Linked DNA regions of Oreochromis niloticus. The protein of the gene in region 1 purifies or fractionates together with the protein of each later gene. This does not show direct contact. Links are inferred from orthologs where the notes say so. Each region holds a gene or a part of one and is shown on either strand. Other genes may lie near its edges.

Region 1 (7,081 bases):
GAGCTAGTTGTGAACAGACATAGTCTCCTGGTGTAATAATAACTTTTTATATTCAAACAAACAGGAAGGGCCTGATAAGAGCAAGCAGCAAGATGCTAAAACCACAGTTTGGTTATTAGTCTTTTAGTGTGAGCACACATCAAGAGGCTAGAATGTCAAAAGGACTCAGAAAAGGCGAAGCTTATCTGTAGACACTTTCTCACATTGAACCCAGCAAAACTACTGTGGTAACTGAAGGCGGGACTGGTGTTTCCCCAGGTCATTCTACTACTTAATTTTGCAGTTTTAGTATAAAAAGAAGTGATAGTTTTACACAGAAGCCTCTCCAAGCTTTGGTCACACAACCTAATTTTTATAAGAGTTACCTCTTGAGATTGTTGTCTATGTTTAAGTAACCTGACAGCTCCTAGAGAGCTGTCAGGTTGTGAAAATGTAAAAACACAAGTTTTTTCAGTGTTTTAACTTGACTGAGGTGATAAACTAATTTGTGTAGAAAAGTCTAAGCTGCACACAGACATCTTTGATTTATTTGGGCGCAGATGGAAAAATAATTAAGAAATGACTGAAGATGGAATACTGCTGCTTTAGGCAAAGAAGCTTATAGCGTGTTGTACTCCAGGCCCTTACCTGGCATATTAATTTACTGCATGATGTTGCATTACAGATCAAAGGTCCAGCTAAACAGATTTATGAAAAGTTAACGATTTAATTACAATATCCATCCTTTATAAAAATGAGCAGTGCATTAAAACATGATGAAATTACACTGATCCCCTAGAAAAAAAACAAAAACAAAGAAATAAAACAGGTAAGATCAAATAAATACAATACCTCTAGAGCAAGAGCAGTCTTGTCGTAGGCACAGGGCACTCGTTTCTGGATGGCTTTCGCCATGACAGGGCCGTTCTGCATGGACGGTAGCGGAGCGATAACTGCTCCAGGTGCGTTGGGCATTGGAGAAGGCGTCTGGGGTTGGGCATAGGCATGAGCAAGAGCATTGGAGGGCTCAGGGATCCCATAGCTGTTGGAGTTTCGCGATCCATGAGAAGGTTGGCCAGGGTGGAGTGAAGGTCGTACCACTTTCTCTACGTAGGGCACAGGGATCATCCCAGCACGTCCATCTTTATTCTTGGCGCTCCACCACTGCTCCTCCGGTTTTTCCAGGATGATAAGGATCTCCCCCTTCTTGAAGGGAAGGTCCTCAGCATCGCTGCCGGTGAAGTCGTATAGAGTCCGCACATACTCCAGATTCTCCTCTGCTCCAACCATGGGCTGGACAGGAGGACTCGGTGTACTTGAATACCTTAGAAAATTAAAAATAATGACGAAATTAAGTAAATGTTAATTGGTTATCCTTAAAAGTCATCACTGTGAAGCCTAGAATACAACAAAACTGCATTATTTGTTGAATAAAATCCTTTATAAACATGATTACCTAACTCCTCAATTACCAAAATGTGGTATCAGGTTTGGCTATAAAACCACACAAATCCTGAGTGAGGTTTATTTTTCCAGTGGTACCAACACTTCAAAGAAAAAACAAAACCCCCAAACAAACAAACAAACAAGCAAACTAGATGTGTGGTAATAGTGCTGATTTTATGACATAACCAAGTGAAACTGGGTTAGTTCTGATAAAAATAGTATGGTAAAGTGCTAGAGGAGGCGTGGTGGGTGACCTCCCTACCTGGGGGCTGGCTCTATCAGCGTGGTCGTGTCCAAGTAATGGATTTTGTAGAACTCCAGGAGAGCTGGGAGGTGGTCGAACTCTTGATCCCCTATTTTGAACCTCTTGCTGGGCAAAGAGTTGATGATATAGTGAGACACTTTGGAGTTTTCCGACACCGACAGTACGTAGTCGCCGGGGCAGGTCGACGAGTCTCGAACAAGAAACATGCCATGTCTCTGTCCTTGTAACCTATTCTGTGCCTCCTGTCGTGACACGGGTCCAAAATACCAGGCGGACCGATCAGAGGAATCAAATCGAGCAGTTGACATTTCTGTTCAAAAATAAGTTAATGTGGGCTTACAAATTAATATTAATAATAATAGAAAGGAAAATACTACAGGATTGGCTAGGCAATAAGTTAAAAGCTGTATGCGTGGTTCCAATTGGCCAATCACAGCAAACTGTAGGATTTGGAAGACTCAGGGCAGGGCACTCGTCGCTCTGGAAGGAGTTTCCGAGTGATTTCTTCACAAAACGCCTCAGGCACCGAAAAAATCTGTTTAAGAAAAACAAAAACAACCTGGCGTTTTTGTTTTCTTTTTTTCCCCTCCTTTCAGATGCAGGCTGCCAGTGACTTGATCCAACTCTGGAGCATACTGTTGTCCCAGTCTGCGGCCGAGCAGTTGTTAAAAGGGGGCCAAAAAACAGAAGAAAAACGAGCAAACTTACGACAGGCTACCATTGACGGAGGGCCAGAGAAGCAAACGATCAATGAAGCTTCCCCTTTTCGTTCCGCCTTCCGAGAAAACACCAAATCTTCTCTTCTAATAAATGTATCTCCTCCAGTCAGTATCAGTTGTGAGAGCGGAAAATGTGGCCTCACTTTTCCCCCCTTCTTCTTCTTTTTTCTTACATCCGATAATCCCTCATCTGTGCACAAAGGTCCCCGGCAGGTCACGAAACTATCAGCCGAAATCCTGCGGAGCTCACGGCGAGACACACTTCATGGAAACGCGTTTTCGAATCCCCTTTCTCGAGTCGGAGCAGACTTTTGAGGCAACACAGCAGAAAAATGGCGGCTCGCAACACGTCTTCACACAAAAAAATGATTTCAGGGCAGCGGCTCGTCTCCTGCGCGTGCATCTCAGGAGCCACGACCGTTTACAGGAGCTGTCGCGTGCATCCCCGACCGCTCACGAGGGATCTCGGCTTAACGATTGCTATATTTTATACTTTCCCTTATTTCCGCTCGTCCCCACTAGCACAGGCTACCAGAAGTACTGAGGTCGAAAAATGGCGACGGGAGGGCAGGTCCCGCTTTCTATCAGCGCGTCACTGACGGCAGGAGCGAGAGAGAGGGGAGGGGGGGAGAAGTGAAGGAAGGAGGTGGGCGTTTGGCGAAGCCACGGACAGCCCCTAGCTCTGCGAGAGTAGGTGTCAGTCATTTCTCAGTGAACCATTCTGCTGATAGAAGTAGCTGTTCCATCGTCTCGGGAATATAGTGAATATAGCAATATGGAGCATGTCGAGATACAAGTGTATTTTTTACTCCGTGTTCCTGCTTTGACGTAGTAATTTAATTGGATGTTTGCTTTTCAAAACTTAAAAGGGATTCACCGTGTGACTCAAAAATATAATACCACAGTTTAAATCAGGTTAAAGAGTGGCTAAACCTCAAATAAATGCTAAACCAATAGAGAGGCTAAGCAGTCAGGTCTTAAGTAGGCAACATTGATGTTAAAAGCTGCTGTAACATACTATATGTGTATGAGAGCGAGGTGTTATTTCTGTTTATATCCCTGCACTGTCATTAGTTGATTCTTAATTGGAAATATGTGTAGGCAGTGTTTCACAGTCATAGCTGGTTCTGTTAAAGCTAGGCTAATTTAACTACTACTTTTACCCTACAACAGTGGAGCATATTTTGCGATCCATTGCAGCTTTGAAGTAGATACTGTGGAGTAGACAGTGCTAATATATGTACTTTTGACAGGTAGTTATGTAGGTGTGTGAAGAGGAGCATCAAAATTGAGCTTTTTTTTCTATAAATGGAAAACATTATTCTATAAAATGATTGACAGATAGAATAAGCTACAGTTCTGAATAAAAAAAGGTCAGATGTCTGCCGAACAACGTGTTCTTATGTTAGTACTGTGTTTAGTGATTGTCTCGGATGTTTTTGTGTTCTGTGCCTTTAAATCAGTGGTCAGCTCGTGTGTTTTTAATATACTTTTTTAGCCACATAACCGCAGCCCATAGGTACAGTATATTTGCTCAGTCAACAACTAATTCATACCACCAGTAAAAAATTGTACTTATTTCCCTATTTTCATTTCCTTGTGTTATTTAACTTCCCCTTCATTCATTCTCATAATAAGTATTATCTGGCAAAGAACTGTGAAAAATCGATTTGGAGCTCACCCAGAATGACCCAACCCAAAACAGAATATGCTGCGAGAGAGAGAGAGACGGAGAGAAAGAGAGAGAGCGCATTTAAATGCAAGGGGCAGTGTCTCTGAAGAAGAAGAATGCAATCTAAGCGAAAGAATGCATCTGAGAACACAAGCAGAGTGCGGCAAGCCATTCAGCCAAGCAGAACAAGTTTTACTCAGTGATAAAAGCAGGATCTGTAAAGAAGTAGCTCTGTCCCTGTGGTGACTGAGCTTTCAGTGGCCGTGCCTCATGAGGCTACAGCTGGCACAGAACAGCTCTCATCACTGAAACACTGTCTGAATGTTAATAGATTTGCACCCACCGAGACTTAATGGCTAAAGCCTGCCAACTCCCACATTTCCACAAAGATGCAGTGATGCAACTAATTGGAAAGAGAAACAAAAAACAGACTAGTTTACTTAGAATTATGGGTAAAAAGGCTGATATTATATGCACGAACCATACTGGCTTCTAACTAGGGCAACTTTTCATTTAAGAGATTGGCTTTGTGGGATTTTGCAGGGTGAGACATACAGTATCGTTGTCTGACCTGCTGTCTAACCTTGTATGTAGATGCACACTGAAGGTTTCTTCACAAACATCACCATCTAGTGGATGTATGCAAAAGGCAATGCCTGCCATCATCCCATTATCAATAGATTCTGTTGTCTGTCTGTATGGCAGGTTAAGATTAAGCGATACTACAGGTCCAAACGTAATGAAACGTGAATTTTTGACCACCTAAGCAGCAGTTCTACAGTCCTTCAAGTGCTCTCTTAAGTACCAGCTGCTACAAAAACCCACCATACCAAAATGGATAACTTCAGGCCAGCACACACGCAGAAAAGCCTAGAAAAGCTGGTTCTTCAACCCAAAAACCCACCTGTAACTGGTTTTGCAATAGCTTAGAAAACTTTTAGCCTCTGTTAAACTCACATCAACACAGTAACCTTGAATGGATGCTCCCTTTAGCTCAGTCTTGATGCCCTGGAGTCTGAAGATTAAATGCACAGATGACACAACCACCCTTGACCTAATCGGTGGTCGATGAGTTGTTGCACAAGGAACTAGTGAACAAAACCTGTGATCTTGTTCTTTGCACAGGCGCAACAAAAGAAAAGTAATTATGGCTGGAGAGGCCCCCTCTCCACCCAGCTCATTTTTCGGCTGCAGAAGACGCAACCTAAGACACTGCAGAGAGCATCGGCACAGTTTTATTTCAGCCAGTCAGATTGTGTGTAAAGGCCGTTAGTCTGCAAATAAATTCCCCTTCCCCCACTTAAGACTTAACACTTAAGACTTCATAAGAAACTTACACATTTTACAAACCATCTTCTGCTTGTAACCACTTCAACCCCTCACTACCCTTCTGTGCCTTTATCTCTTTCACACAGCGTCTTTCTCCAGCTCTTTTCTTTGTGCATTAAACTTATATTTATTATTTTCATGGTGATGTATCCTGTGAGACAGTGACAGGAATTCCAGTGTAGTGATGCAAACTGCAGTTAATTATAATCTAAATCACGTTTTGAAGAGGATGTTCACATGGTGCAGGATAAGACCTGTGTTGGAAAGGTCAGTTTCTCTGAGACTGTAAATTTTGCTTAAAAAAAGCTTTTTATTTTATTTTAACTTCGAATAAATCATAGATACTAAAGCTGTTGAGCAGAGTTGCAACCTTGCTCTCATGTGCCAGAACACAAACACACAGATTACCTTGACAAATCCTGCCCAGGGTCACACAGACAGGCATTCAGGAACAAGATCATGTTAAGTTTTTACCATATATGATAAAATACCTGTATTCTCTATCCATGCAGTTTCTGGCAGTGGGCGAACCCCCTCCCAGCCTTCACTTTTGAAATACTTAGCCTCTACTATATTTTATTTTAACATCCTACCACGTTCCTGATTGTTGTCACTGGCATTCAGTTCAAAGTTGAGCATGCTTTGATGTGAAGACTAACGACAGACAAGCAGCAGACTGGTAAATATGGCACGAGATGCTGCTGTTAAAGAGTCAGTGCATTTTTAGACCAGTGTAAGGGTTTATATAGATGAGCGACTCACTGTTACAGCCTCCATGGCATGAGTCACCTTTTACCTCTCAGCCTGGTTTCCCAGAATATGCAGTCAGGTTTCTGTAAAGGTAAACCTGTTTACATGCTACTAAATGGACACAAATAGGTAGATATCCATAGATATTCTACATTTCTAGAAATACTTCTAGATTTCTACAGGTACACCAGGTTCACAATAAAGGCTTCAGATAAAGCATTTTCACCCGCTTCATTACTTCCTCATGTTTCAGTTTGTTGTTGCTTTGGTTCAAATGTTTTTAAATGAGCCACTTCCCCATAGCATTTCTAAAACTTTAAGAAGCCACAATTATCTCTTGTTTCTTACAATATCACATTGCATTACCTGTGACAACTTCATGCTCATAGTCTTACCTTAACTTTCTAAACTTTTTTGTTCTCACTAATTATTTTTTCATTCAGTTAGTGAAGAGTTAATACGAGACCACAGCCTAATCTAGTGCAACTGACGACGTTGCTGTAGCCAGGCCTGTCAAGTGGTCAATTCTGCTTTTGGTTATTTTAACTTCCTCGTTTTCAGTGAAGCGTTCATATGACAAGCAGGTTCAATAAAAAGACACGCCACGGCTTGTTTATTTTATTCTGTTCAACTTTATGCAGTGTTTATACTGTAAATACATGTCCAATATAGATGTTATGGATGAATCAGCAACTAAAGGAGCTGGTGAGGGTTCTTCTAAAGAGAAGGAATAAAGGGAAATGTAGCCTGTGAAGCAGAAAATGACTCATAAACCATGTAAACAGGACCGCGGTTGGGCTTAATTAAACACAAGTAATGCTCCACATAAACAAATAAATCAAAGCTTTAAATACATTTCTTAATATATCTAATTATCGCACACTTTGGCACACTTTGGCAAATCTGTAGCGATCAAAACCT
Region 2 (7,476 bases), about 7.6 Mb from region 1:
TTTTTACCAACACTGGTGTGCCAAAATGTGTCGTGTCACAACCCCAGTCTGCATGAGGGAAATTTTTGCAACTGTGAAAATCTCAATGATCTTTTTTTAAGCAGCTTTTCTAGTGTGTTTAAAGTGTATTTAGTGCTGTAAAGTGTGCACAGCATCCAAGCCTGATGCGAGTGGGAGATAAAAGAACAGTTCTTCTTTTTACTTCATTTTTATTTTTTTAAATTAATTTTATTAAATTATTAAATTTTTATTTAATTCACAAATGACTACGTGCATTTTTGAAATAAATGCTTATCATGGGATAGAAATATAGTCTTGTAGTTCATCTAAAAAAAAAAAAAAACAAACAAGCTAAAAAAGCAATACAGCACGTCTTAGTCGTGATCACCTGATATTATAATAAAAATGTTTTTTAAAAAAGACATCTCTCAGTATTTTGTATCATATCATTAACAGGCTAATGTTAGCAGACTGAAATGACTAAATTAAGCACTGACAAACAAGCCCAGCTAGCCAACACACACACACCCACACACACACACCACAGAAACATGTTACAAAACTTTGCACTAACGCTGGCCAAATGACTACAATAACTCAACCCAGAGCTGGTATGGTGTTTAAGAAAGCAGTGGCTAAAGAACAGATGCTGTTCTCTGCTGCTGAAAAAGTAGTAATGTTAATGCATTAATGTAGCTAACTTACCTAAAAACAAAAACAAATACTAAAAGATATTGAAAAGCTGCACTGTCTCTCACATCACCTTTGATTGTACTGTCACTGAGACAGTGCATGAAAACTAGTTATTATTATGACTGCTATTATTAGAAAAAGACACCAGTGAAAAGAACAGTGGAACTCTGAGGTTTGAGCAAAATAACAATCTTTAAAGTGTACAAAGGGCAAATATCCTGGCAACGGGTCAGTTAGAACAGATTTTTATTGACCCGTGCAGTTTTAGAATGGTTTGTGTGAATGAAGGCTTCATACACATGTAGACAAAACAAGAACGGAAATACAAATCGAATGAAGGAAAAGTCATCCCAGGTGATGTGTCTCTGTTTTTATGCGGAAGATCTTCCTGAAAAGTGGATTCTGGGCTGGTTCTTCAAAGTGACGCTAAATGGGGTTTCTTCCTTAAAATTTTGTATCGCTTTCATTTCAAAAATCAGGCCATTTTGGCAACAACAAATCCCGTTTCAGGACTGCTGCGCTAAATGTTTCACATCTTAATTTAACTGCAACAGTGGAATCATTCTAAGTGGGTCATTTAAAGTATGACATCCAACAAGTAAACATACGGTACCTACATAAAACGCTGCGGGATTAGAAAGTGTCTGAGCAGAGTCTGCAAGTCACAGTGCAGCACTCTCAAAACCAGCCAGAAATAATTCCTGTCAACAATACATCGTTCACCAGTGATGAGCAGTGGATGAGAAGGATTTTTAACTTTTGATCAATGTCAGCACCCCCACAACTCTTTATACTACTAATCATGAGCTCATTTAGCAACATTCGGAAAACTTAAATTGCTTAATGCACTGAAAGACAGGAAAAAGAGAAGAAAAAAAAAAGATGCCTCGGAGCTATTAATATGTGCTGACACTGCACACCAAACTAGTCATTCAGCTCACATCATGTACTATTATTAAGGCAGGCTACCTGACAGCATCTTCAAGTTTTAGCTTACACCAAAATGTGATCACACAGACTCAAAGCTTTTAAGCCTTCTGAGAAAAGCATTAAGAAACAGCTTCGGCTGTCTGGCTGCTGTTACGTTCTTTTGGGGGGCAAACACCGCAACACACTGAATCTGTTTATGGATTTCAGTTTTGGGCTGCCTGAGTGATGAAGTCATGTGAGTGAGTATGCAGAGAATGGGGTTCAGCGCAAGAACCTGATTTCATCAGAGGCGACACGCCTGGGCTCCACCGCACATGAGGTTCACTTTTGCTTCCTGCGAGAAGGGCAAATTAGTGACTGGGTGACACCATCCCCGGTGATCGGAGGAGTATGTTGATGCAGCTAGTGAATTTGGTGTCCATGTGTTTGCTCCTCAAGGCACCATACTGCCAGCGACTAAAACTGTCACCCTGTTTCTATCTAGTCTCCAGAGAAGAAGCCTTTCACACTTTCTCTCACACTCATGCACTGCCTGCTGCAGTTTTCTGTTCTGAATCTCAAGTCTCGCCCTCCCCTGTTTCCATTACACTAGCAACCAGCACAGTGTGTCCTTGGGGGACATATTTGGGATCAATGGGCACATGATAACAGACCAACAAGTGACCAACAAGTAAACACAACTGGGAAGAATGGAAGCAGGGGAGAAGTGATGGTTTGGGTACTTGCTTTTAAGTTATCAGTTAAGCAAAGAGTCTACAAAAAAAGAAAACAAAATAAAAAACAAAACCCTTGCACTGCCTCTGACTTTTCATTTAGTTGTGACCATATGTAGTCATCTGTCCGCAAGACACGAAAGGAATCGGAAACTTTTACGCCTATGAAGAATGACTGAGCTAGTGGTGGATGACACTCCCTCCCCTCCTGTTACTGGGGGCTCTCAGTGTGTGCGTGTGTTCGCCTTTTCGCCCACTTACTGCAGGCAACACTGGGCAGGACACTATGTGGAGCGAAGCAAGGAGACAGCTGCTGGAATGGGATGCAAGTGTAGCTGACGGGTATAAAGTTTCCTTCCCAAAATCCCATCCATACCCCAACACTACTGCGTTTCCTCCCGTAGTGATTGTGCTCCGCAGTGAGAGTGAAAGTGAGAAAGTGAGCGACACGAGTAGACAAAATGAAAAAAATAAATAAAAATACGGGTCAAACCAACAACAAAAAAATGCCACGTGCACAATAGTGAAAATCAACACAAATACACACCCAGCAGCCCAGCGCGTGAACGCAATCCCATTCCAGGGGTAACAAGGCAGCTAGCCTTAGCCAGTAAAAGCTAACCTTGAGCTGGTGCTAGCTAAACCCGTCTTTAAATATTCGCGGACGGCCAATTGGGAGGCAGGAGAAAAATGTCACACCACATATTCATTCATTTACGCGTCTTTCAAAGGGGAAAAAGGCGAAACACACGTGTTTCCTCTTGAGTGAAATTCAGAGATTTGTCCCGAGATGGTTAGCAACGCTCGCAAACAATCAAACCGGGGTGGTGTATTTACGACCCCCGTGCCGAGAGTGAATGGAGAAATGCCGGTGTAGTACCATGTAAGAAAAGCCAGCACGATTTTTTTTATAAAAAATAAAATGCTATTTCCCCGGACTAGCTCGCTAAACTGTTTTGAGCACGAGAAGCTGTATTATTTTAACTAACGGGTCAGTTAACCAGCTCTCCTTAAGTCAACCTTTTGGTTTAAAAACGGGACCAAAAATATGAAAATATCATTAGCCGCTACCAGCTAGCAGACGCTTTATTTTAACTGGATAGCCGAGAAAAAGAACAATCCGTGAGGCCCAATTAAACCACCATTTACACCCAACACACTCATCCAAGCTTTATCTTGAGCACCCCCTTTTTTGTTGGCGTATGTGTTGGTCAACAGACCCCCATAATTTGATCCATCCGAGCCCCGTGTAAGGGAGACCGTTATACAGTATCCCGAAGGTGGAGCGGTGAGGTTCAGTCTAGCCGGGCAGGACTTACCTTGCTTGCTCTCTATTTTTCTCGACATTTTCGTAGCCAGCAGCTGTGATCCCACTCGCAGTTCAACAAAACCGTAGCTACAGACGAGCCTCGCCGTGCCTCTCCTCGGATTATTCCCTCATTTTCGATATATTGTGTCCACGAGATGATTCCGCCCCGGTTAATATAATATATTTATAGGCCACAGACATTGGTACGGTTATAAACTGCCTCCGTCCGTCTCCGGGTAATTTTCGCTGGATACACACACACACACTACGCTCACGTTAATGCCTTGAGCGGAGACTCGGCTAGGGTAGGCTATCACCCAGTGCAACAGCGCCCCCTTGCGTCAGGAATTAGCCACGCCATCTGTCAACAAGAGCATGGGCGTGTTTCGATTTCAGTTCAAAGTTAAAGCAAGCCTCGAGTGTAATCCATACTGATTTTGCAAGTACTGTTGCACACAGACTCATAAATTAAGTCATCTGTCTTTTTCATGCAATTAAAAAATAATGTGGAAATTCACCAATCATCCATTCGCCCATATATCAATCTATCGTAGATGGAAAAAAATTGCAGGGTAGCCTGGACGGTAGCGATTTTTTTTTTTACCTAATCAATTTTAGCAGCAGAAGGCTAATGAAATGATGGAGTCCGCAGGCTTCAAACAGCCATTTCAGCAGCTCGGTTCAAAACCAGCATCATGGCCAAAAAGACAGAACAAGTCTTAAAACTAGTAAAAGCTCCTGAAGAAATCAAGTGTTGCACAAAAAGATAGAGCAGGGATGTTGATCGGTGTGATCATCAAAACAAAGCAATGGCGCTCTATATAATAATTAATAATTAATATATGGTTAATAATCAGTTTCAGCAAATTAAAAAGATTACATCGCCAAAGATTTTTAGATTGCGAGGGATCTAAAGTTTTAAAGCGTTACTCACAGACATTTGCCTTGGTTCTTTTGCTTGTTAATATCTATGTTATTCACATGTTTTGGAACATGCGACTGTAATAAAGTTGAAAAGCACATAACGATTAAAAGTACAATACCTGGTTAAATGAAGGAATCTATCTAAAAAGACGTGTGAGCGCTAGAAAATGCATGGACACTTCGCAGTTTTTTTCTGGAAGTGTAACTGGTTTGCATTTTTTTCTTTGCACACGTCTTTTCACTCACTTTTCACTGTTTATACACTAGTTTGCATTTCGTCCTGTTAAAAGAGGGTTTTTTTCCCCGCTGTCACCAAGTGGTTGCTCACAGGGTCTCTGATTGGAGGGGTTTCTCTGTAGCACTGTAGGGTCTTTACTTTCCATATCCTCTAGTATTAAGCAGTTACAGTTAACGTTAGTGTATTTCGGCACACATTTTTTCCTCTCTAAGGCACTTTCAGGGCAGCTCTTACTCTGAAAACACAGCACAGCATTTCTTGTATTTTTGCTTATCATTTAGTATACTTGCCTAGAGTTCAGTGTGTGTGTGTGTGTGTGTGTGTGTGTGTGTGTGTGTGCAGTGTTTTGACCAGGAAGCCAGCCTGGCAAGACCCACATCTTGGCTGCATCTCATCCTCCAATCAATTAAGTCAAAAGATAATGGTACGGACAACAGCCAGAGTAACTCTTAATTAGATTTTTTTTCCCAATAAATATTTTATACAAGGGGAGTGTTTTCATAGCAGAGGTGATTTATGCTTCGAGCGGTTTTGAATCACTACTGGTCGTTTGAACATTTAGCACATCAGCTCTAGTTTGTGTATCTAGAGGCAAACCTGTTATTTTTTCCACATTTGATCTCCAATCAAAAGCCAGTAAATAACGGCATTCACAAAAGTTCTTTTAAAATAAGCAAGAATTGTGATTTTAAAAGTGGTAGTTGAAAATTTTAATATTTCAGTAATATCTATGTCCTCTGTCATAGACATTAGTTTTTTGTCTATATCTTTTGGCTCATTTGACCTATCCTAATAAGTCCTGATGTACCAAATAGAGGACATCATGGGCTTTCCATTGATATTTCGTGTGTTTGTCTTTTGGTTTCAAAAGGGAAGGAAATCACAAAAAAAGTGGAAAGATTCACTGTTCCTCGGTTCTCGGGAGGATATATTAACTTCTGCTTTGTAATTACAGAGTAGTTTGAACCATTTACATGTTAAATGGAAGCACAGAGCCCCCTGTTGGGCATGCTAAAACCTTGCTTAGATGCATATACTACAACTACATTTTTTCTTATTTTCTCCTTGTTACCATTCATGTACTACATGTGACAGGAAAATTAAAGGCCGAGTAGAAGAAGAAAGGGGAAGCATGGCTCTAATTTGATGCTCGTTTCAACTGCTGACTATGGCATTTGCTCACTTAGTGCTTCACATTATCCTCTCTATTAAAGTGCAACCATCTAGATTATGTCTTGAGTGTACCAAGACGAAGCGAGCATGCCATATCAACGTTTTATGAATAATTGATCTGACTGACAGAGTGATCTACATTCCGTGAGTGATCTGGGTCAGCTCATACACTCACAGTGCGTCCGTGAACGCAGAGGCATGCATTAAAATACTGAGATAAGGAGTTCATTACACACTGTTGGCCGCTTCTTCTGAGCTTTGGTGCCGCTCACCTCATCAGCGACCGGATTTAATCGCTTATCAGAGAAAGGCCTTGAGTGTCAAGGATTCATATTTACACTGGCTGTCATTATGCCTGCTCCCTTGTGCTCTTGCTTGCGCAGCAGAAGCCACACCCATATAAGAAGTGCAAAGTGCTTGCTTTGTGTGTTTGTGCTAGGGAGAGGTGTGTGGGTGTGTGTGGAGGAGGGGAAGGAGTGGAATACGTTCCCCGAGGCTATGATAAAGTCACAGAGGGAAGACAATGATCTGCCAAGCAATGCCAGACTTGTCAGGGCAGGATAGGGCCTCACAGCGCAGTCAGAGTTGGTCTGTTTTAGAGCGTCTTGGTGTTTTCCTGACAGCCTGCATTCAGTCTCCCACAGAAACATCCAAGCAGCTGTCTCATCTAATGACCACGTTCACTTTGGGGCTTGAAATTTCAGCTTCACAAGTCAGCGTAAAGCCTCTCTGCCACGAGTGACAACTGATTGCTGGCTCTACTAATGAGACAAGACTTTAAAATATACACAGCAATAACTAGAGGAGTCTTCTACATCTTACTGCTTTGTCACATGACTCACATTTGTCTTTGTTTTCTTTCATATCATTTTCACTTTTTTTCATTAAATGTCACTTAAGCCTCAGCGCAGCCCTTTGCTGGCTGCATAGTAAACCAAGCACACGAGTCATGCCGCTTTATGCCACAGAGTGGTGCTCTTGGTCCACTGATCATTCTTGTATGCTGGAGCTCAGCCTCACGACCCTGTGGTGGTACACTTCTAGTAATGTGCTGTACATGCGGGTAAATGTCACAGAATCTGGTAATACAATGATAAAGCTCTTTGATGAGCTTCACTGAGGGCAGCAATTAAAAAAAATCAGTATGATCATCTTAATAAGTCACCAAATAGTTAAAAAAATATATTAATTCCACTGTTTAAAGTTATAACTACTCCCCTTAATGAAGACAGATGTTTGGAAATAGCAAGCAGGTTAATCCATCACCACGCTCAGATATTCAGGGTCGATACCTCTGATGAATGTGGGAAGCTTTATACCGGTTCACACTGGGAAATTTCCACTCTGGGCTTGCAGCAAGATCAGGTCAGCTGTGCGCTGGATGCAGTTCACCATTAGACGGGGCAAAGAAAGGAGAGGCAGGAGAGTTTTGTTAGCTGAGAGCTGTCAGCGAGAGCTTTGAGATGGGGTTTGATCTTCGCGGTGGTGCAGTGCTC

The links. Proteins that work in one complex are often made in the same cells at the same time.
Region 2: the proteins of crkl (region 1) and rapgef1b purify together in Homo sapiens (affinity purification with western blotting; 16 studies listed by BioGRID and IntAct, with this or other methods). This does not show direct contact. The link is inferred for Oreochromis niloticus from reciprocal best matches to the Homo sapiens genes CRKL and RAPGEF1.

What each region holds. Positions count from the first base shown.
Region 1 is NC_031972.2:23,838,205-23,845,285, forward strand, and holds the start of crkl (crk-like protein), read right to left. Parts: upstream 3,009-7,081; 5' UTR 1,999-3,008; coding exon 1,688-1,998; intron 1,304-1,687; coding exon 832-1,303; intron 1-831. UniProt on the Homo sapiens protein: May mediate the transduction of intracellular signals.
Region 2 is NC_031972.2:16,285,895-16,293,370, reverse strand, and holds the start of rapgef1b (rap guanine nucleotide exchange factor 1b), read right to left. Parts: upstream 3,008-7,476; 5' UTR 2,915-3,007; coding exon 2,884-2,914; intron 1-2,883. UniProt on the Homo sapiens protein: Guanine nucleotide-releasing protein that binds to SH3 domain of CRK and GRB2/ASH. Transduces signals from CRK to activate RAS. Involved in cell branching and adhesion mediated by BCAR1-CRK-RAPGEF1 signaling and activation of RAP1.